Linked DNA regions of Schizosaccharomyces pombe. Changing the gene in region 1 together with any one later gene gives a genetic interaction. Each region holds a gene or a part of one and is shown in the gene's direction. Other genes may lie near its edges.

Evidence for each region.
Region 2: mutations in SPOM_SPAC1B3.02C (region 1) and asl1 together harm fitness less than expected from each alone (positive genetic interaction), as found in Schizosaccharomyces pombe (one large-scale study listed by BioGRID).
Region 3: mutations in SPOM_SPAC1B3.02C (region 1) and cwf16 together harm fitness more than expected from each alone (negative genetic interaction), as found in Schizosaccharomyces pombe (one large-scale study listed by BioGRID).
Region 4: mutations in SPOM_SPAC1B3.02C (region 1) and pgm2 together harm fitness less than expected from each alone (positive genetic interaction), as found in Schizosaccharomyces pombe (one large-scale study listed by BioGRID).

What each region holds. Positions count from the first base shown.
Region 1 is NC_003424.3:4,926,449-4,931,771, reverse strand, and holds SPOM_SPAC1B3.02C (Elf1 family transcription elongation factor), read left to right. Parts: upstream 1-2,226; 5' UTR 2,227-2,255; coding exon 2,256-2,321; intron 2,322-2,362; coding exon 2,363-2,409; intron 2,410-2,452; coding exon 2,453-2,523; intron 2,524-2,671; coding exon 2,672-2,811; 3' UTR 2,812-3,600; downstream 3,601-5,323. Other genes in the region: GTPase GUF1, read left to right, coding at 1-269, 421-459; cyclophilin family peptidyl-prolyl cis-trans isomerase Wis2, read left to right, coding at 757-1,827; SPOM_SPAC1B3.01C (uracil phosphoribosyltransferase), read left to right, coding at 3,854-3,952, 4,174-4,676, 4,769-4,826; protein Min8, read right to left, coding at 4,900-4,977, 5,043-5,113, 5,162-5,234.
Region 2 is NC_003424.3:190,083-196,405, reverse strand, and holds asl1 (O-glucosyl hydrolase Asl1), read left to right. Parts: upstream 1-2,355; 5' UTR 2,356-2,517; coding exon 2,518-4,110; 3' UTR 4,111-4,478; downstream 4,479-6,323. Other genes in the region: chs1 (chitin synthase I), read left to right, coding at 1-185, 232-316; mevalonate kinase Erg12, read left to right, coding at 824-898, 1,148-2,287; tsr402 (SSU-rRNA maturation Tsr4 family protein), read right to left, coding at 5,115-5,676, 5,822-6,084.
Region 3 is NC_003424.3:1,486,877-1,492,381, reverse strand, and holds cwf16 (splicing factor), read left to right. Parts: upstream 1-2,626; 5' UTR 2,627-2,799; coding exon 2,800-3,612; 3' UTR 3,613-3,772; downstream 3,773-5,505. Other genes in the region: gpp74 (golgi phosphoprotein 3), read left to right, coding at 628-1,641; F1-ATPase chaperone Atp12, read left to right, coding at 4,327-5,095, 5,145-5,251.
Region 4 is NC_003421.2:2,263,689-2,270,384, reverse strand, and holds pgm2 (phosphoglucomutase), read left to right. Parts: upstream 1-2,444; 5' UTR 2,445-2,464; coding exon 2,465-2,515; exon of another isoform or gene 2,516-2,577; coding exon 2,578-2,677; exon of another isoform or gene 2,678-2,917; intron 2,918-3,079; exon of another isoform or gene 3,080-3,114; coding exon 3,115-4,727; 3' UTR 4,728-4,850; downstream 4,851-6,696. Other genes in the region: F0-ATPase delta subunit atp5, read left to right, coding at 664-784, 897-1,415, 1,491-1,501; metacaspase Pca1, read right to left, coding at 4,929-5,401, 5,441-5,609, 5,650-5,673, 5,720-5,817, 5,859-5,918, 5,965-6,418.

The sequences.
Region 1 (5,323 bases):
CTATAGTGCATCGCTCGCTTGCACTTCAGCGAGGCCGTGAATGGATTCAACGGTTGAAGCCGTTAGTTCCTAAACAACTATATGAAGTAATACTTCAAGCTGTCATCGACAACCGAGTAGTCGCCAGGGAGTCTATCTCGGCTCTTCGAAAAAATGTCACAGCAAAATGCTACGGGGGAGATGTAACAAGGAAGCAAAAGCTACTTAATAAGCAAAAGGAAGGGAAAAAGAGATTGAAGTCAGTTGGAAATGTTTCAATTGACAAATCGGTAAGTAATTACATTGCCTGAAGACTTCATCGAAATATGTTTTAAAACTATTAGGAAACACAATTTTGTGTTTTAAAATTTAAATACATTGTTGACTTCACTCAACAGCACTTATATTTCTTTATAGTCCGTGTGTGCTAACTTAAATCAGGTATTTTATGAATTTTTAACGAAGAAGCAATCTAATTGAAAAAAGTATAAATATTTTTTGGTCTAATAAAAAGTCAAATTTTCTTCTGCTAGCATTTTTTTAATACAGTATGTTTCTAGAAGTTTCGTAGAAAATCTCTTCGCAGTAGGTTGCAAATATAAATCACCACCTTTTTAATAACTAAAACTAAATAGTTTGCACAGATCTGTATATTTCGTCTGCGTAAAATCGCTATTCATTCTTCTTCTTAAAGCAACTTTGTGGTGTGAATACACTGAGGAGACTGGCAGTGAAATATCATTACTTAAAAACGATCATTGTTTTTTTTTGCACGAAATGAGTACTTACGCCTATTTTAAAATTAGCATTGATGGTAAAATTCAACCAACAATCTACTTTGAACTTTTCGACAACGTAGTTCCCAAAACTGTCAAAAACTTTGCTTCGTTGTGTAATGGGTTTGAGAAGGATGGCCGTTGTTTAACCTACAAAGGTTCAAGGTTCCATCGAGTAATTAAGAACTTTATGCTTCAAGGTGGTGACTTTACTCGTGGTAATGGAACGGGTGGAGAAAGCATCTACGGCGAGAAGTTTGAGGACGAGAACTTTGAGCTCAAGCATGATAAGCCTTTCTTGCTTTCCATGGCCAATGCCGGCCCTAATACCAATGGATCTCAGTTCTTCATTACTACTGTTCCCACCCCTCATTTGGATGGAAAGCATGTTGTTTTTGGCAAGGTAATTCAAGGAAAATCTACTGTTCGTACCATTGAAAATTTGGAGACCAAAAATGACGATCCGGTTGTACCTGTTGTTATTGAAGAATGTGGAACTTGCACAAAGGATCAGATTGAGGCACCAAAGCCAGACGTTACTGGTGATTCTCTGGAAGAATTTCCTGATGATTACGAGGGTGATAAGTCCGAGACTGCCATTTTCAAAATTGCTAGCGACTTAAAGGGAATTGCTAACAAGCAATTTGCTCAGCAAAATTTGGATACAGCCGTTGCCAAATGGCAAAAAGCTTTGCGCTACCTAATGGAATACCCTGTTCCCAACGATGACTCTAAGGAATCCCCTGATTTCTGGAAAGAGTATAATGCTTTACGATACAGCATATACGCAAACCTTGCCCTTGTAGCTTTGAAGCAGAACAAACCTCAGGAAGCTATTCGAAACGCCAACATTGTAATTGAGGCCAGTAACTCTACTGAGTTAGAGAAACAGAAAGCATACTATCGTTTGGGTTGTGCTCAAGGTCTCTTGAAGAATTTTGAAGAATCAGAGAAAGCACTTGCTAAGGCTGGTAACGATCCTGCAATTTCAAAGAAGCTTGCAGAAATTCGTCAAAAGAAAAAAGATTATAAGAAGCGCCAACAAAAGGCCTATGCTAAGATGTTTCAGTAATTCCAAATTAATCGGCGTCACGTGAATGCTGAGAAGTCAATTATGTTTTACGTTAATTTCTAGTTAGTCAATGAGAGTTTTATCGCATTTACAAAATAACCATAGAAGGTCAACTACGTTGCGAGAAAGAGTGCAAGATTTACTTATGGAGGATCTGGCTTCGTTTGTAAGACTGGTATGCCTACGTTTGCGTTTCATACAGCAAAGTATCATCATGAATAGAAAGAACTCTAGAAACAAATGTGCATCAGTAAACTCAATAAGAATATCATATTTAAACATTTAATTCATTAAAATTAAATAAGACCGTCTCTTACCAAGTGTCGAAATTACATGAGTTTCCGCATTACCCTTCCTAAGGATGAGAGTGCTAATGTGAACCCGCTAATACGAATCTGCAGTTTGCAAAACGTAAACAGATTCTGCAAATGGGTAAAAGAAAAGCAAAAGCAAAAGTGAAACCCAAAAGAAGGGCACCCCCATTAGATACGACTGTGAGTTATAGTTTAATTACGAAATTTACTAACTTTACTAGTTTACGTGCCTATTTTGCAACCACGAAAAAAGTGTGAGCTGTAGTCTGTATGCTTATTAACTACTTTCATTTTTTTTAACACTTTGATAGTGATAAACAATCAGGAGTTGGAAATCTACACTGCAAAATTTGTGGTCAGAGTCATCAATGTCTAATTACAGGTATGAAAGAGGTGTTTTATTTCAATAGCGGCACGTAAATTATTACGATTAATATTGCGGTTAATTTCTTTTATATCGTCTCTTTATCTTCTTATTTCTTGTTCTTTTATGAAATTTTCTTGTACACTTATTTACTAACATTATCAAGCTCTTTCGGCACCCATCGACGTATACAGCGACTGGATTGATGCTTGTGATGCTGTTGCAAATCAAGCTAAAGAGGTTGATAATATAAATGATCAAGAAGCCTATTCCCCTGAAGCAGCTTATGAGGAAGAAAAGGAATGATTTTTTGCTATTGGCCTAACTTGCAAAAGGAAGATTCTTTTCAGAGCTTAAATGTTGAAAGTTTCCGTTCATTTATGGTGATCTTATTTTCGTTGATGCTCAGTCGTTTCAATTAAGAGATTTCTCTGAAGCGATAAGAAGGTATTAACTACATTGCAATGAACAAGACGCTGTATTTGGCAAAACCGGACGAGCTTAGTGTATACAAATCTAGGCATGCTCTTGTATATATTTGTCCTTTTTAAAGACGTCGAACATACGAATTTCGAGATTCCATCTGATGAACCGACAATTGGACGATAGTGTTAAGCTTATTTGTTGGTATTCGGATGTACCATCAATATGGGTGTGATATCTTGCTCATTGGCAAGATAGCCATTTCATTGCTTTGTTTTTGGTTTGGTAGAATCGCTGTTCACTATGACAGGCTAAGAATTACGAGTGCCTAGAGTGTGGTTGACTTCGACCTTGTACTTATTGTATTCTCCATGTACAAAAAATGTCTAGAATGAAAGAGATATGAAAATATGTTCATGTGTTCTTACTGCATTTGATTTAAAAATCCTTACAATACAACTCATTTCTTGGTTTCTTGTGAATACAGTTGGATGAATTGAGAATTACAAGTAAAAAACATTGAAATCCAATTAAGATTGTAAGCTGCATGGAGTCCAATTGTATGAATGTGTGCTTCAAAAATTTGTACTGTCTTTCTCATTCTTAAATATAAGCAGTAATTCATTTAAAAACATCAACTTGCCCTAAAATATGTTCAATAGTTAATTGATATTCTTATTTAATTTTGCCAAGCCTGCTAGAGTAGAAATCTTTTACTGCGCTAAGTAACGCATTAATCATAATTATGTTATTATGAAATGATGTTGTAAATCTTTATTTATGTTTAACGAAATATACTAAGGTTGATAAAACTCATTTTGCTATTGATAGCTTAAAAGCAAATGTGTTATTGTGCTTTTACTTTTTACCATTTACTTGGTAAACAACTTGATAGGTAGATATTTAAGCATACATCGTCAAAAAGATGTCGCTGGTACCTGAGCATGGAAATGTGTACGTACTAAATCAGACAAATCAATTAAAAGGGTTGTTTACCATCATTCGTGATAAAACGAAACCTCGTGTATGCGCGTTCAGTTTACAACAGATTACTGAGTCAAGGTCTAAGAACTAATTGAAATGAATGTGTTAATATGTCCAAGAAATTTTAGCTTTTTCCTCTATTAATGGGGAGATAAATGTTTATCAGTGGATGATAGGAAGCATTCATTATCAGTTAGTACATTCGACAACTTCTCGTGTATTCTTTGTTGAATCTGTTATCCCTGCTAACATGATATTTAGTCTGAATTTATTTTTTATGCCAATAGAATCATTCGTTTAATTGTTGAAGAGGGCCTCAACCACTTGCCAGTGTCTTCAGCTAAGGTAACGACTGCTCAAAATGCTGAATACGAGGGTGTAATGTTTGATGGTCGTATTTGCGGCGTTAGCATTATGAGAGCTGGCGAAAGTATGGAACAAGGATTGCGTGAATGCTGTCGTTCTGTTCGTATTGGAAAAATTTTGATACAGCGTGATGAGGAAACTCATAAACCTGTGTTACACTACATCAAGCTTCCCGAAGATATTTCTAAACGCTATGTCTTACTTTTGGACCCCATGCTAGCCACTGGTGGCTCTGCTATTTGTGCTATGGAAATTCTTATCAACATGGGTTGCAAACAAGAACAAATCATTTTCCTCAATGTAATTGCCTCGCCTGAAGGGTTGAAAAATGTTCACGATCGTTTCCCCAATATACGTATAGTTACCGCCGTAATTGATGAGGGACTCGACAACAATGGGTATGTGCACGATACACTACAAGTGTTCATGAGGTCAATACAAAGTTGATCGCTATTTCATTCATGAATAATCTTTAACACATATGATTTAGATACATTGTTCCAGGTCTTGGCGATTTTGGAGACATTTACTTTGGAACGAAGGCCTAAAGTTGCTTTGAAAATTTGCTCAATTAAACACACAACCACGCACTAAACATTAAAAGACTAATTTTAACAGCACTTAATGAAATTGCGGTTTCTTAACTTTTGTCTCTTCTTTTTGTTGTGTTTGTGCTACCCAACTTGGTGAGCGTCGAATCTGTAAATATAGGTCAGTGGCCGTTGTTTAAATAGTAATAGAAGTTTGGAAATAATTGTACATACTTCAGGATCAGAATAAATCTTATATCCCATGGTAAATATTGCAGTGGACCCAGCAATTCCAATGAGGATTGCTAAAATTCGTTAGTGATTTGACAAATTCGGTTTTCTCAGTAACTAACCCAGAGGTTTGAGCTCAAAAGGAAGCCTTTGAAAGGCCCTGTAAGGTTTCATAATTCTTGATAAAACTGCCATTTGTACACTTAATAGTTAAGCATTCAAAGTCTTCTCTTCAACTTATATTGGGTTGCCCTTCCTCCTGGTCTCGTCATTATTGCTTTACT
Region 2 (6,323 bases), 4.7 Mb from region 1:
TTAGAATTCAACAGTCCCATCATTAATCACGGAGAGCAAGAGGATTTTTACAAAAATTTTCGAACGTATGTTGTGCTTACCTGGATTCTCTCAAACCTATTTTTGGTAGGAATTGTTCTAAGTATACCAAAAATTAACGGGATCTCTATTTCAAACAATGAAACAAGCGCTTATTTGTCGTTTCTGTACGTTGATTTCAAGACTGTTTTATCAGTTGACTAACTATAATAGACTTTGGAGCGTCGTTGCTTTCTCGGTTTTTCGGTTTATTGGTTGTATTTTTTATTTATTTATTAGACTTTGTACGGGAGAATAACTTGCATGGCTATTTTAAGATATTTTAATTTGTTAATGAGTAAACTTTTTAATGAATTCATCAGATTATGTACTTACTAAACAGCATTTTTTTATACCTGAACACTACTTCTCAATTTGCTTAGCTGTCTATTTAAATATTATGTTATCAATACTCATCATATATGTACTTGCTCTTGCTTTCTTGCTATAAGCTATAAATGTAGTATTTTATGGTTTTATGTAAATGTCTAACGAGTTTTGCGCTGTATACCTCGTTTAAAAAGTCATTTTCCTTAGCGCATATGAAAACTATAACATCGCGATTTTTATTACAAAAGAACTTTTAAAACAAAATCAAATAAAGTAACTTTTTAATTAAAATACCAATCTTTTGCTACAACTTCCAATACCATCATCACCTTGTCCTGTTTGCGTAGATATCTGTCGATAACCAACCTTCGTCGCCTATTTACCATCACCTTATTTTAACTGTGTTTTGAAGTTGAACGTAAAAAAAATTTCTGAAATGTCAAAATCGCTTATTGTTTCGTCGCCAGGAAAAACGATTTTGTTTGGGGAACATGCCGTTGTATATGGAGCTGTAAGTTTACCTAAGGTTTAAAGCAGATTACATTAGCGAGAGTTTTTAACAGGCTAGTACTGGATACAGCTCTGTTATGCATATATGATTTCTTTGTAACATAGTATTTGCAAAGCGAACACCACTTTTAACTTTGACAGTCGTCGCAAATGTCATTCTGCTATAGCCATGCTTATTTTTGATTCTAATCTTAAGCCATTTTAAAGCGAAAATATGGAGATCATTTAAATTTTTATGCTAACTTTCTAGACTGCGTTAGCTGCAGCTGTATCGTTACGGAGTTACTGTAAATTACAGACGACTAATAACAATGAAATAGTAATTGTGATGAGTGATATAGGGACCGAACGCCGATGGAATCTTCAATCGCTACCTTGGCAGCATGTAACAGTGGAAAACGTTCAGCACCCGGCATCATCTCCCAATCTGGACCTTTTACAAGGATTAGGAGAGCTATTAAAAAATGAAGAAAACGGACTTATTCACTCAGCAATGCTTTGTACCCTTTACTTGTTCACGTCTTTGTCTTCTCCTTCTCAGGGTTGTACTTTAACTATTAGCTCCCAAGTACCTTTGGGTGCTGGATTAGGTAGTAGTGCTACTATATCAGTTGTTGTCGCTACAAGTTTACTACTAGCTTTTGGTAATATTGAACCTCCTAGCTCAAATTCTCTTCAAAACAACAAAGCACTTGCGTTGATAGAGGCTTGGTCTTTTCTAGGTGAATGCTGTATTCATGGAACACCAAGTGGTATTGATAATGCAGTAGCAACAAATGGAGGACTTATCGCTTTTCGTAAAGCTACAGCTCATCAGAGTGCCATGAAAGAATTCTTAAAGCCTAAAGATACCTTATCTGTTATGATCACTGATACCAAACAACCAAAAAGTACTAAAAAACTTGTACAAGGAGTTTTTGAACTGAAGGAAAGACTACCAACTGTGATTGACTCAATAATAGATGCAATCGATGGCATATCAAAGTCTGCCGTCCTCGCATTGACTTCGGAGAGCGATAAAAACTCCTCCGCTAAAAAGTTAGGAGAGTTTATTGTTCTTAATCAAAAACTCTTAGAATGCTTGGGTGTATCCCATTATTCCATTGATCGCGTTTTACAAGCCACTAAGTCAATTGGATGGACGAAGCTTACAGGTGCCGGTGGTGGAGGTTGTACGATTACTTTATTAACACCTGAGTGCAAAGAAGAGGAATTTAAGTTATGTAAAGAATCACTATTAGCCCATAAAAATTCTATTTACGATGTTCAATTAGGTGGACCTGGTGTTTCAGTGGTAACCGACTCAGATTCATTTTTCCCTCAATATGAGTCTGACTTTGATTTTAAAAAATTGAATTTACTCAGCAAATTTAATAAATATTATATTTAAAGTTTTTATGTATAATCAAATTTTCATAACTGGTATATATATGAGTGGCTTGATAATGAACGCGGCTTGTCGTTCACCAACCACCACAGTAGAAGCTAGTCTATAAGAGTCGTTGTCCGTTCTTTAGCAACACTCCTTTCCACTCTTTTATATATCAACTATATACCAAATTTCATCTTTTCTTTCTTTTTTTAGTATTAGACGCGTTTTATCTAGTATTTTCTAAAAAAATGCGTACTACTTTCGCGACCGTCGCTTTAGCTTTTTTATCGACCGTTGGAGCTTTGCCCTATGCTCCTAACCATCGCCATCACCGTCGTGATGATGATGGCGTTTTAACCGTGTATGAGACTATCTTGGAGACTGTTTATGTTACCGCAGTTCCTGGTGCTAACTCATCTTCCTCATATACTTCTTACTCCACTGGTTTAGCTTCTGTTACCGAGTCGTCCGACGATGGTGCTTCAACGGCTTTACCTACTACCTCTACGGAATCTGTGGTTGTAACAACCAGTGCCCCTGCTGCTAGTTCCTCTGCCACTAGCTACCCTGCCACTTTTGTTAGTACTCCTCTATATACTATGGACAACGTTACTGCACCCGTATGGTCCAATACTTCTGTCCCTGTATCAACTCCCGAGACATCTGCCACTTCTAGTTCTGAATTTTTCACTTCGTATCCTGCTACCAGTTCCGAATCTAGCTCTTCTTATCCTGCTTCTAGTACTGAAGTTGCTAGCTCTTATTCTGCTTCTAGTACTGAAGTTACTAGTTCTTATCCTGCTAGCTCTGAAGTTGCTACGTCAACTTCATCCTATGTGGCTCCTGTCTCGTCTTCAGTTGCTTCTTCATCAGAGATATCAGCTGGCTCTGCTACATCTTACGTCCCCACTTCCTCATCATCTATTGCTCTTTCTTCTGTAGTTGCAAGTGCCAGTGTTTCTGCTGCTAACAAGGGAGTTAGTACTCCTGCTGTTTCTTCAGCTGCCGCCTCCTCTTCAGCTGTCGTTTCCTCTGTTGTCTCTAGTGCCACTTCTGTTGCTGCTTCTAGTACTATTTCCAGTGCTACCTCAAGCTCTGCATCAGCATCTCCTACTAGTTCTTCAGTTTCTGGCAAGCGCGGTTTGGCCTGGATTCCTGGAACTGACCTTGGTTACTCTGATAACTTTGTCAATAAGGGCATCAACTGGTATTACAACTGGGGTAGTTATTCATCTGGTCTGAGTTCCTCTTTTGAATATGTTCTCAACCAACATGATGCCAATAGCCTTTCTTCAGCTTCTTCTGTTTTCACTGGTGGTGCTACCGTCATTGGATTTAATGAGCCTGATTTGTCCGCTGCTGGAAATCCTATAGATGCAGCTACTGCAGCTAGTTATTATCTTCAATACTTAACACCTCTTCGTGAATCTGGTGCCATTGGTTATTTGGGATCACCTGCCATCAGTAACGTAGGTGAAGATTGGCTTTCTGAATTCATGAGCGCATGCTCTGATTGTAAGATCGATTTCATTGCTTGCCATTGGTATGGTATTGACTTTAGCAATTTGCAAGATTATATTAACTCTCTCGCCAATTACGGTCTCCCTATTTGGCTTACTGAATTTGCTTGCACCAACTGGGATGATAGCAATTTACCTTCATTGGATGAAGTTAAGACTTTGATGACCAGCGCTCTTGGCTTTTTAGATGGACATGGATCTGTTGAGCGTTACAGTTGGTTTGCTCCTGCTACCGAACTCGGAGCCGGTGTTGGTAATAACAATGCCCTTATCAGTTCCTCTGGTGGATTAAGTGAAGTCGGAGAGATTTATATTTCTTGAACTCCTTAAATTTACACAAAATGGGAAATTATCTTGTGAGATATAATGGTAATTCTTATGCTTTTTTTTCGTTCTTTAAACTGTCAAATACTCTTATTTCTTCTTGCTCTGAAACTCTTTTTTATGATATTTTGTTTCATGGTTTTTGTCGCTTTTTTTTGAATACTCTGCCATCTATCAGATTGTTTAAGCTTTCTGAACTATGCTTATAGGAGATGTGCTTCTTATTACATCGATCTTTCATTTATTCATTCGTTTATTTTACCAACCATGAAGTTCATTGTGTTTGATGTCACAATTTTTAAAGCGTGTATTCAATGAATATGCTGCGTGTTTTAATTTAATACAGTCGTTAAATGTCTTTTAAATTTTATTAGTAATCTTTTCTGTAAGCTTTGGAACTCTTGATAAAGTCGTTTAACTTTATTTGCTGACATTGTTGATGATCTGTAGTATAAAGGTAAATAATAAGCGAAAGTCTCGTCTATAAAATGAAAACAAATGCATAATTGACTGCTGTAATGATAAAACAACTATTTCTCCATTGCGCCATTGTGGGTGGTTTGATATCTGGGTGTTCTTTACATGCTTGTTTGCCTCTTTTCAAAAGGAGGTCTTAGCAACTTTGGACACACGAACAAGAAAAGGCTTATTGAACTATAGGATATTAGAAGCATGAGCAATTTAAGAGACATCACAAACTTAATTAGCAGATATTAAAAGAAAAAGTTATCTCGAATCTCTTGCGAAAAATTTATTAAAGTAACCTTTTTTTTGCATAGTTCTTTGCAGCAGATTTAACTTACGCCGAGTAATCTAGTACTAGATTCTTAACCTGCTCTACTCACTGTAATCATAAAAAGAAACTCTACTCATGCCCCTCTTACAAATGTTTTCAACCGGACGAAAGCAACCATCTCAAAAGTCAAGAATCCCGTAACTATTTGCACAATAAACACTAATTAAATTCCGTTTTCCATAAATATATGCCGCCGTATAGGAGATCATTCAGGTGCTATAATTCCTTGCTCTGAAAAAGTTTGAAGCCAACAAAGTTCTTCGGCCAGCCCGCAGTTGGCTAAATCACACGAAGCAGAGCAAACATAAATAGATAATATTCCCCAATCCAGAGCATTTTTCGCAGAATGATCAATATTCATACTTGATATCAAAGTAGGTAAAATTTGAAATTCAAGCTGCCTTTTAGCTCCGCAAGCGCAATTGGGTATAGATGAAGGTATACATTCATTATTGCACCATAAACCAGGAAATTCATTAGAAGTCGCATGGTAATAACGCATAATTTGGTCAGGCGCTCTTGAAAGCCGTTTTTGAAATTTCAGGAATGAGACATCACCTTTTGCTTTAGTATACGGTTCAGCGGAAGGATTCTCAGTATCTACTTTTACATTTTTTAGCTTCTCCGGTATTTCTTTTTTATTTTCCTCTTTTGGTTCGGCATCAACTTCAATTTCTGAAGAGTCAATTAATTTAGTTACTTTTGATGTAATTAATTGAAAGTCTATTTCATCTGTTTCACGAGCTTGTTCCCTAAAAACTTTAACACTAAGTAAATGTAAAGTTAGTACAATTAAGATAAATGCTGGTTTACAATGTGATTTCAAAAAACATATTAGGTCCGAAATCCAATAATTTTTTTGACATCAAGTCGTCTAATATAAAACGATTTACTAATAAATGTTTAACTTACCCTCTCGTCCAGCCTGCTGTTTGTGAGTCTCCGTCCCTGTTGATGAATATATACAATATTCTGTGGTACGAAATTTCAGAGTTTTTCGGTGCATATAATTGCATTAAAAACTCAAACGAGTTTTCTAAGGATTCATTCAAGAAAGCAGCATCATTTTTTCTGATGAATAAAGGGGCACCCCCAACTCTACTGCATTCGATGTCCAGATAGTCTTTTTCGTCGAGCTTTTCTTGAGAAAGGAATCCCAAATCAACATCTTCCATTGTATACTTTTTCTAGTTTTGGACTATTTCCTTTTGATATGTTGTGCAACTAAGAGTGACAGCTTGAAGAAGAAGAGTTTGGCTCGGCGATTTACAGAACGTCTACTAAAAAGTTGGGACATGATCAAGGGACATTGTTCATACTTGAAAGAGTTTAATTTTTTACAATCATATATATCTTAATTTTTTTTTTTTTTTTTTTTTTTTTTGATAAATTTATTGAAGCCTTAAACGTCTAC
Region 3 (5,505 bases), 3.4 Mb from region 1:
TTTAGGTTATCGGGGAGTCCAAGCTTTTCTTAAAAAGGTATCCGTCTCTTTTCTTGTAGTAAAATGAGGGTTTCAATTTATATTTTTATTTTTTTTACAATAAGAATTCTTCTCGTATCTTTTTATTTTTTAAGTAAAGTCCAAAATTCTCGATTTTTGGGTTGCCGTATGCTAAGGATCAATTTATAAGCTGTAGGTTACGGGAGCATCTGTTAAGCCACCGTAATTCTGCTACCACTTACGGGCAGAACTGCGCGAACATACAATCCTCAAATATCAAGTATTTATTAATTCTTTGTTGTCTTCCAAAGTTCTTTGGTGGAAATATTCCCAGTATCTTCAAAAAATTCGGTATTTAGTTGGGTACTTCTGGTTCAACCTACCAATTTATAATAATTTGCATCCCAACGAAAAGTTGGATTAATTGGCCGTCAAGGTTCTGAGGAAACAAAAGCAAAAGGTATTTTTAATCAAAAGTTTTCCCATTTGTTTGAACGTTTCTTTCTTTAGCGAAACTCCTGTATTGCATACTTTTGCTTTCAACGTTTTGCATATCTCTCTCATCTTCTTGATTATTTGATATAGACAACAAGAAATTTCTTGTATTTAGGCATAAAATTCAAAGAAATGTCAGGTGGACTTTCCCGAAGGAGGGTTGCTGCCGCAAGTTCGGACGAAGAACGTCCAGAGATGAGGAGCGTCTCTCATTCCAAAAGTCATCTTGAGGGATACGATGATGATCATAAAATCGCTTTTGATCCAAAGGATTTGGAACAAGGCGCGGAAAGGGAAAAGCAACCCAGGCTTACACTGATGGAGGAGGTATTGTTATTGGGTCTAAAAGACAAGCAAGGTTATCTTTCTTTTTGGAATGACAGCATTTCTTATTCTCTTCGGGGATGTATTCTAATGGAGCTCGCATTTCGTGGAAAGTTGCGTATGCAAAAAGACGTTAATCGTAAACGCTTTCCGTTAGCGGATCGTGTAGTGGAGTTGGTTGATGAAAAACTTACAGGTGAGGTTCTTTTAGACGAAGCTATTAAAATGATACATACTAGCGAACTCATGTCTGTAACCTCTTGGATTGATTTGATGAGTGGTGAAACGTGGAATGTGATGAAGATTGGATATCAATTAAGACAAGTACGCGAACGGTTGGCAAAGGGCCTTGTTGACAAAGGGATTTTAAGAAATGAGAAGAAGAATTTCTTACTTTTCGACATGCCAACTCATCCCATTGCCGATACCTCCATTAAAGATTCCATTAAAAAAAGAGTGGTCTCTGTTCTTACTTCACGAGTAATTGAAATTGATAATTCACCTTCTTTCCCAGAATATTTGTCTTTTCGTTGCCTTCGCACTGTTGCCCTTGCTTGTTCCTCATACGCTGCTAATGTTCTTGAAAACGCTCTTGACAATTTAAACTATGAAGATCGTGAAAAAGCATTTTCTCGCGTAGACGAGCTTCTCTGTGACTTTTCGCAATGGCCTTTTGATCTTCATGCTTCTTCGTCAGTTGGCGCTAACTTGCCTGAGCTAATTTCCGAAGAACTTTCCTCTGTGAAGGAAGAGCAACTACTTTTCATTGAGGTAGTCGCTGCTGTTCTTCAAGTTTTCACTCATTTAGATTCTTTACTTTGATAGCCAAGCATATCACTCGTTGGTGTTGTTTGAGTTATGTTATTTCCAACTCAGACTAATGAACAAACGTATACCGACTTCTATATCGCTAATGTCGGCTTAATTTGTTTGTTTTTAATTGGAGTATTATTTTAAAAGAAGTCAATTCAATCAAATTGTTCGTTGTTGTAAGAATAGTACTTTGAACAATCGGTGCTTCATTATCTAGTTGAATTTTCATTAAATTGGTGGTACCATTTCCACATATACTCTCTCCAGTTGAACACTTTATCTCGATATGGAGGCAATCCCATTTCGATATTGTCTGCTAAAAAAGATTTGTTCAGAATATCCCGGGTCAGCTTTCATTCTTTTCAGTTGCGGACATCGTTAGCTATTTTCTTCTCGTTTTAATGATTTACATACGTACATATAAGTCAGTCTTTCTTTTCACAAAGCTTTAGTTATTAAACTAACGAAAAATGACAATTGTGTAATTACTATACAGTTATCTTTTAAACCATTTTAAACTTGGGTTCTTCCACAAGCTTTACTTAAATGAACATATGATAAATTAATATAGCAGGTGTTTTCTTATGATCATTGCTATCAACTTTACTAAGACGAACATAAGCTGAAATACAGCGATTTTTAACCAAGTTCATATAAATCATCTATTCCTGCCATTAATGCCAACAACCCCATTAATTGTCTATTGCTGTAAGCGTAAAGTACTATGGAGACTGATCAGTCAAAATTAATCAGAAGCATTTAAATAATACACAATTTATAAGGGAATCTAAAGTACTCTTAAAACACCGGAAGGTGTAAGATTGACAAACAACGCTTGCTCACGTCTCGATAGCTCAGCTCAGGTATTGTATAAGGAAATATAAGGATGGTACTAAATATGTTTACGTAGTGCTATGTGCGCATTCAATTTATTACCGCGACGTATCGAGTGTCAAAGAACTACAGATAGTACTAGTACTTTTGCCATTCGCTTACAAAAAGCGCATATCCACATAAAACTAGCATTTTCAAATTCATCTGTAAAGTCAAATAATTCCAACCCAAAAGGACGGTTAAATTTTCCTTACTTTAATTTATTCTTTTTTTTTGAATTTGGTAAAGCAATTCTCGTACGTTCATTTCATTTTTTTTTCATAGTTTCCAACAATGTCTGAACGAAAGGTACTTAACAAGTATATCCCGCCCGATTATGATCCTTCCATTCGTCCTCCTAAGAAAAAGAAAAAGTTTCAAGGACCAAATGGTGGGAAATTGACTGTTCGTTTGATGACTCCATTTTCAATGCGCTGTCATACTTGTGGAGAGTATATATATAAAGGAAAAAAGTTTAACGCTAGGAAGGAGAAAACCGGCGAAAAATATTTTTCAATTGATATATTGAGGTTTTATATTCGCTGCACTAGGTGTGCTGCTGAAATAACATTTATAACCGATCCAAAACATGCAGATTATGCAGCAGAGAGTGGAGCTTCCAGGAATTATGAGCCGTGGCATGAAAAAAGATTACAAGAATATGAAGAAAATGAGTTAGCTGAACGCAATGACATTCCTGAGGAGGACGAAATGGAAAAATTAGAACAAAAAACATTAGACACTAAACGACAAATGCAAATTAGTGATGCACTCGACGAACTACGTGAAAAGAGCGCTCGAAGGTCTCGAGTTAACATTGATGATGCAATCGCTCTCTTAAAGGAAGATGCATATGGATCAATTGAAGAAGAGGAGTCCAAAAAGCGGAAATTTGAGGAAGAAGAAATTGATCGTGAAGCTAAATCGTTGTTTTCGTCTCAGGATGGTGAAATTATAAGAAGATTGAATGCAGAAACAACGGTTGAAAAAGAATTACCCAAACCTATAGATTTGGTTTCTGAGAAGCTGGCCACTTCCAATATACCGAATTTTCAGCCTCCAAAATATGCAAAAAGGAAAATGGAGAAGAAAAAGGTTTTGGTATAACGTCTATAAATGGCTAAATTTTTTAATTACTTGCATTTTTTATAGCTAAGCTATTAAAAATGTACATGTTCTTTTGTACCAGCGCAAGGTTTTTATTGTAATAATATTTAATGAGTTTTTGATGGATTTTCATAACGCGAGTTGATAGTCAATATCCTGTTCTAATTTTTATTATTCGATTAGTAAATGTAGTTTGTTATGTAGAATAATACCGTAGCATTTATAGAAAGGTTTTATTTTGTTTGTATCTATTCTTCAACTTTAAGTTTTTAACAGCACATGTTAATTGATTTTTTTTAAGGTTCCTTCTAATTTTCCGAGTATCTAATTGTAATTTATCAATTTACATTTACGGTTTGTCAAAAAGTAGTCTTAATCGTAGCTAAATTCAAGGCGGCTAACGTAAACAACGGTTTAGGAACTATGATAGGAACGTCTATTAATTTATTTTAAAAGAGTTTTTTCTTGCTTAATTAAAAACTACTTTTAGAAAAAAATATTAAAACTTATTCTCATCATGCCTGTGACAAAATATTGTTAGACTCATCTTACATAGTAACCAATATTTTGGAGAACACCAACTAAAAACGTATATCATAATAATTAACTCTTAAACAATAATTAAAAATTAAATTTTGGCAGTTTGAAGTACGAAAGATTTTTTAGTGTCTCAGATAGACACCTTGAATACCCTTTTTTTTCTATTTTTGTAAGATGCTTCGATCTTTACAATTTTACAGATTATCCAGCAAAAACTTGCTGTCATTTAAAACGTGCTATTCGTTTTACTCTACAAAAGCTTCCTCTCCTTTGCCGCAACCATCATTCAGGAGATTTTGGAAGAATACAGCTACCAAAATCCAAAATGGAGAAGTCTTGATTCAATTAGATGGACGAAATTTAAAATCACCTTCTGGGAAGATTGTTAAGGTACCTAAAGAAATGGAGTTACTAGCACACTTGATTGCCCTAGAATGGGATCGATTACCATCAACCTCTGTTCGACAACACAATCTCCCAATTACTTCCCTAGTTTCGAGAGCTATTGACATATCACAATTCAAAAAAGAAGAAAAGGAACTACTTTCTACTCAATTAATTCGTTTCCTTGACACCGACACAATTCTAATTTACTCCCCCGAAACAGAATATGAAGGGAAATTGTTGGAGGAGCAAAAGGAAAATTGGTGGCCACTGAAAGAAACCTTTGAAAACAAACTTGGTGTGCAATTAAGCTATTTGGATGGTGATGCTGGTATTATTGCCCATAAACAAACGCAGGAAACACACGAACGCATAAGAAACTGGCTCAGCTCGCTGAACTCTTGGCAACTAGCAGCTTTTGAAAGATCTGTTAGTTGCTGCAAGAGCTTCATAGTTTCTTTCATGATTTTAAAAGGATATTTGAACTCTGAAAAAGCTGCCGCTTTGACGAACTTAGAACTTCAGTACCAAACAAATCGATGGGGCTCTTTGGAAGATGGTATGTATAAACTCTCTATTATTCTAATGTTAAATACTTACAACTGCAGCTCACGAAATAGACAATGAGGATCTTAAGAATAAGTTGGCCAGCTCGGCAATACTCTCACGGTGCATAGAAGACATGCATGACAAAAGTAATGAACATGCCCACTAACGGCTATACGCAAACTCAAAAAATTACAAAATTTTTGGAATAGCTCCCTCTGGGTGAACTCAATTAAGAGAACCCTACAACTGTTTACTTAAAACACTGCACATTGCCAAATTAGAATTATAGAGTAATGTTGCCGTCGTTGAACAGAGAATTCTAAATTAGTTTCCTCATGTCGAATATGCTGAGCTATTATGTCAGTTATCCTTCAGACCAAATTGTTTTGACAAGGTACCCAAAATTAATTCATGAATCAA
Region 4 (6,696 bases), on another chromosome or scaffold:
TTCTCTATCTCAAGGTTTTTTAAACATTTTATCTCTTCTTTTTGAATTCCAGCATTTCCTAAGGGAAATCGTTACTAATCTTTGCACAATCTTGCCTACGGCTACCTTCTTTTTAATTACTATATGAAATCTTTTCAGTTGCTCTTAGATTTACTACTTTATGTATTAATTTAATCAATCTTAAGAAGCAGCTTTGCTAAGAACAATATCACATGAAAACCCTTAATTGAATCATTTGCCATCGTAGGTTTTGCACACACAACAATTCCTCTCATCTCCAGAAACATAGGTGATATACATTAGAATAGTAAGAATATGTAAGTCTTTAATAGGCAACTAGGCAACCTACCACATAGGCTTTTAGTGTATATTGTTTGGCAATACTGCTAATGATCAATTGCGTGTATTTCTAAAATTTGGCATTTGATTCTTATCTAATGAAAAAAAAAGAAAAACCACTTATACAACATTTCAAATTAATCTCATTTTAATAATCAACCTGTATTCAATTTAACAAATAGGCAACTTGTAGGTAACAACCTGAATAAGAAAGTATTGCAAGGAAGCACGTTGTAGCTTGTTCTTAAAGGATGACACCAAAACGGAGGTATGATCGGAGCCATTAACCAACTTCCTTAAACGTTGAGAGTGTGAAACATTACAATGAATCATATTTTTCGTCGCTCCATTCCCATCACTGCTCGATTACCTTCCTTAGGAATTCGCTCTTTAGCAACTGCAACTGCTTCTGCTCATCCCCCTGTCCAGTTGTATGGTTTAGATGGTATGTACTGTAAAAGGTGATTTTTAATTGCTACCATTTTGACTGATATCTTCATTGTCATCCAAAAGTCTGAATTTTTTGTCTTGGTAATTAACTCTTTTCTCTTATTTAGGTTCTTATGCTTCTTCTCTGTATACCGCTGCAGTAAAAGAATCCAAGTTGGACAATGTTGAGAAGGCCTTAAATAAACTGTCTGGTGTTCTTCAACAGAGACCGGAATTTGAACAATACATTTCTAGTCCTTGGTTGACTCGTGAGGATAAGAAAATATTGGTTAGTTCTTTGACGCAGATGACTGGAAATGAACCCCTTTTGAAGAATTTCTACAATGTTTTGTTAGACAATCATCGTCTTTATCTCTTAACTCGTATTCAGAAACAATTCTCTACTTTGATGCGCGCTAAAAGAGGAGAAATTGAAGTTAAAATTACTTCAGCTACTCCTCTAGATTCGAAGATCCTTTCTCGTCTCGAATCTCGGATAGCTAAATCGAAATATGGCAAGGGTAAATTACTGGTTAGCAATAAAGTTACTCCTTCTATCATCGGTGGACTAATTGTTGAAATTGGTGATAATATTCTTGATGTCAGTGTTGGTTCTCGTCTCAACAATTTGAACAAGCTCTTAAGTGGTAGGTTTTTTTATTATTTTTTAATATTTTTTCATGATTCAATTTTAATTTTTTTTACATGCTAACCATTTATAGAACCTATTTAAGGCTGTTTTAATGCAACAGCGTATCCTTCGCCAAAACCCAATCTTTATTCTCTTCTCATTCTAAACAGGCTTGAATTTCCTCTTATTCGTATTTCTCTTTCTTTGATAGGTTTTAATGAGCCATAGTACGTATTACATAGTCAATTGAAACTATGGTCATCATGTTTGCCTTACCTCCTCAATATTTCAGTTTCATTTATGTATGCTGTTATCAACTTTATGAATGCTATTTTTTCATCATCGAATAGTAGATCTTTGAAAACTTAGTTCCTGGTTATGGAAAAGGTGTGATTAAAGCCACAAATGTACTAACACTAATTTTCTTATCGTATCTCAAAGCTTGGAGTGATCCAGTACTTAAAACTTTAAACCATTCCATACTTAACCCGTTCAGTTTAGAGAAGTTGTACTTGATGGTATTGATTTTCAATCTCATCTGCATAACATAGATTGAGATTTATGAATAAACGTGTTGAATTGAAACCTGGGATATTCTATAAAAAGTTAACATCAGTTACTGTTGTTTATTAGTCAAGAGCTTCAAACCTTTTCGGTTCAATGACACATTCCGACAAGCAATTTTTAGACAAGAACGTCGCCAAGCCTAAGTGAATCCCATTGTCCGACGCCTATTAATTAAAACGATTCAGCTTGCGAATTGACGTCAGGTCTTGAATTCTTCCAATTTCTCCTTTTTGTAAGCGGTATATATCGTAATTAACTGCTGCTTTCAAATTACTAGGCTTCTTTTTGCAGCTAATGTTTTAAGAAATTCTCTAGAATAATTGGAGGTCATGAGTATAATATTATTACTACTTTTTGTTTTTGAGTCTATTTTATTAAAATCATTTTTGTAAGAAAACGGATACGAAATACCACGGCGTAAGGACGCGTTAAACGAGGTGATGAGATACGTGTATTGTGTGTGTAGCAAACAAATGGTAACAATTCCCATTTGGCAAGATGGATCCGATTTTGCAAGAATTAGTAGATGAGTGGTTCAAATTAGATCAAGTAAGTATTAGGACTATATTTACTATGGAAGTACTGTGGAACTAACAGATTGAACGCATTAGGATGAAACTACGAGGAATGAAGTTTCACAATTGATTAAGGCTGAAGATTATGCCACCCTCAAGCAAATTATGCATCCAAGGATTGGATTTGGTACATCTGGTATGTTTTTATTACAAAAGAAGAAAAAATTGAGATTGTTAAGAGATATTTCGCAAGTTGAAGTGGATTGAAAGAGAACGCTAAATAATGCCTCTTTCTTAATAAAGAATTCTCAGTGCTACAGCCGGTAGCTTAAACTACTTTATTGTGTTTTCCTTGATTAGAGTCGAAGTGATATACTTGATCATCGGTCACTTTCCTTACTGCGTATACTAATTTATTGTGATGATCATATTGGTCATATTTCAGAAAGAGTTTTTCGTTCTTCTTCTTCTTTTCTATCTGTTTTGGTCTTTTTTGCTTGGAATGTTATATAACGTGCTTGTACGAAATTGGTTTAAGTGTAATTAGATTTTCAGCTTGCGATTGTTCTCTCTATACATCTTAATGTTTTAACATTATCAAGTTCGTTTATTCATTTACTAATGTTTACAAAGGTTTGAGAGCTGAAATTGGTGCTGGCTTCGCTCGCATGAACTGTTTGACCGTGATTCAAGCCTCACAAGGCTTCGCTGAGTATTTGCTTCAAACCGTACCATCAGCTGCAAAGCTGGGTGTGGTAATTGGACACGATCATAGGCATAAGTCTAATACTTTTGCTCGACTTACTGCTGCAGTGTTCTTGCAAAAAGGATTCAAAACGTATTTCTTCGATCATCTTGTCCATACCCCTTTAGTCCCTTTTGCCGTTAAAACCCTAGGGACTGCAGCTGGTGTTATGATTACTGCTTCCCATAATCCCGCAGCTTATAACGGATACAAGGTCTATTGGGGAAACGGTTGTGCTATCATTCCTCCCCATGACAAGGGAATTGCTGCATGTATAGAAAAAAACTTAACGCCCATTACTTGGGACAAAAATTTGGTTGAAAATCATAAACTAGCAGATCGGGATTTTGCAGTTGGTCTTTTAAAAAACTATTGGTCTCAGCTCCACGAATTCCATTCCGAAAACAACTTTTCCTTGGAAATGAAATCTTTGAAATTTGTTTACACTCCTATTCATGGCGTTGGATTACCATTTGTTACTTCAGCATTACACTTATTTGGCGAACAAGGCGATATGATTTCTGTACCTCTTCAAGATTCTCCAAACCCTGACTTTCCGACTGTGAAATTTCCAAATCCAGAAGAGGAGGGGGCATTGGATTTGGCTTACGAGCAAGCTGATGCTAATGGTATTTCGTATGTCCTTGCAACTGATCCTGACGCAGATCGTTTCGCCTTTGCAGAAAAAATTAATGGTGCTTGGAGAAGATTTACCGGAGATGAAGTTGGTTGTATCCTTGCCTATTTTATATTTCAAGAATACAAAAACGTTGGAAAGCCAATTGATGATTTTTACGTTTTGTCAACTACTGTCTCTAGTGCTATGGTAAAGTCCATGGCCAAAGTAGAAGGATTCCATCATGTTGAAACACTTACTGGATTTAAGTGGTTAGGCAATAAAGCATTAGAATTGGAAAAACAAGGGAAATTTATTGGATTGGCATATGAAGAAGCTCTTGGTTATATGGTAGGTAGTATAGTTAGAGACAAAGACGGGGTTAATGCTTTGATTACGTTCCTTCATCTTTTGAAACGCCTTCAACTTCAGAATCTTTCAATTACCGAGGTTTTTGAGCAAATGTCTAAAAAATATGGTTATTACACTACGCAAAACTCATATTTCCTTTCACGCGACACTCCCAAGCTTCGTGCTTTGGTTGATGCCTTGAGACATTATGACACAAAATCGGGTTATCCGGCAACCCTTGGTAGTAAGAAAATTACAAATGTTCGCGACCTTACTACAGGTTACGACTCAAGCTCCACGGATGGTAAAGCTACTTTACCAGTTTCAAAAAGTTCAGATAACGTAACGTTTGAGCTTGAAAATGGAGAGGTAATTATGACTATTCGCACAAGTGGTACAGAGCCGAAACTTAAGTTTTATATCTGTGCTCGCGGACATTCGCTTGAAGATTCCATAAAGAATGCTACAGAAGTTAAACAGGCTATCAAATCTGAATGGTTTCATCCCCAACAGAACGGACTGGAAGAGCCATGAGTTTTCTCGCGTGTATAATTTTAATTTGAGCTCGTTTTTTAAGCAAAATTATAAATTGCAAACAAAAATATTTCAATAAAGTATTAGATATGATTTCCTGAGTTGTTGTGATTTAAATTTTATCCTTAATTGAAAATTCCTTAAATATCTGATGGAACTACAAAAATATAGAACTTCAATGATCAAGTAATGTTTAGTGTACTATAAAACCATGGCAAGATTCATGTCTAAAGGATGACTACAACTTAATTGGGGCAGTTGTGAGTATTTGTTGGAAAGTACTTGTCGAATACCTCTCAGCAACTGCAAGTAGCTAAGTTGGGGATTTTGAGTGACGACTTCACGGAAGGCGTATGATAAAGCACCAGTAGCGAATCCATTAACACTTGTATCTGCGCTTGTTTGATTATCTTTGCATCCGGATAAAGAAATAACATCAGCAGGAGAAAACTTAACTTGTCTAGAGTACTGTAGAGCGTTGTTATTAAATCCATTGGTAGCACTGGTAAATATATTTTTCACGTTGTTGATAGCTCCCATAATGTCGCCAGAGGCATAAGAAAGGCCAGCATGAAGTACATCCATACCAGATTCTTTTAACATATTTGGCTCCTTTAGAACGCCCTTGGTAGAGTACGTGAAAGGAAGATCGAGAGCTCCACCTGAATGACAAGCTATATTTTGTTAAAAATAGATTAAAATCACTGACTTACAGTCAAAGAGAGCTGTTAAACGACATCCTGCTGGTAAAGGCTTAACCATTATTTCGTGCATTTCATCATCTATAATTTGCCCGGCATATTGATGGTCCAGTGGATATATCGTTTCATCATAACCATCAACTTCGTCTCCATCAAGGTCTTTTGTTTGCCCTCCGTGGCCCTATGCATGTGAGTATGAGATGTAAAGTGATGATTCTTACACTATAGTGAAAAAATAATGCATCCTAAATAGTTAGCATTAGGAAGTAAATCCCATGACATATAACTTACATTAGGTTGGGCATCACTTACTAACCATCTCATCGCATCTAACATATTTTGACGAGTGGGAATTGCCCTTTGGTTGCTTGCCGTGTCTGTCATAATAACTAAAAAAGTTTTAGCAAGATGTTCTCGTAATCAACCATACCCATATCTTCTTGCTTGTAACCGTAGCGCTGTATCAGCAGTTGGGACATAGACATGACATCTTAAACAAGTTAATATATGTTTACTTGACCTTTCGCATTCCGTACCATTAATGCAACCTTGCAACTCATTTTGGGTATTGAGATAGTTAATTCCGATCAGCAAAGCCTTTCGCTTCCCTTGGCAAGTTGAATACTGATACTGAAAGTTTCCTCCTCCTGCTAAGTTATAAGATTGAGTCTGAGTGTTTGGCAGCTGAGGCCCACTATAATTTGGGTTGCCATAAGAATTAGCACCAGTATTCGGAGGCGGACCTGAGGGTGGGGCATAAGCATGGGAGTTTGCAGAGCTCAAACTTATATGACCAACATTCTCCATAGGGATTTGATTAGAATTGCCGTCTGTCTGAGGCCTTGTGGAAGGGGGTGGCATACGTGGAGGCTGATATTGATGTACAGTGTTATTACTTTGAGAACCATTATTTGGTGAATAATTAGGTCTAGTATATGTATTATATGGTGGATATTGCCCACCGTTATAAGGATTGGAGTTGTAGCTCATGTTGATGGGAAGTTGGATAGTGCTTAACTATGCTACTTTCAATAAAATACCAGATCTCACAGGTTATAACTAAAGCAAAATCAATTTGACTACAGTATATACATTTAAAAAAAAAATTAATTGCAAAAGATGCGAGCAATATATTATAATCATACCACACATCAAAACGTATTATACACGAAAGAGCTGCTACACGAAGAAATAATTTAATACGATGAAAAATCAAGTAATGTATAAAGCAATAAGTGAAAACCTAGCCGGCATAGTCTAAAAAGAGT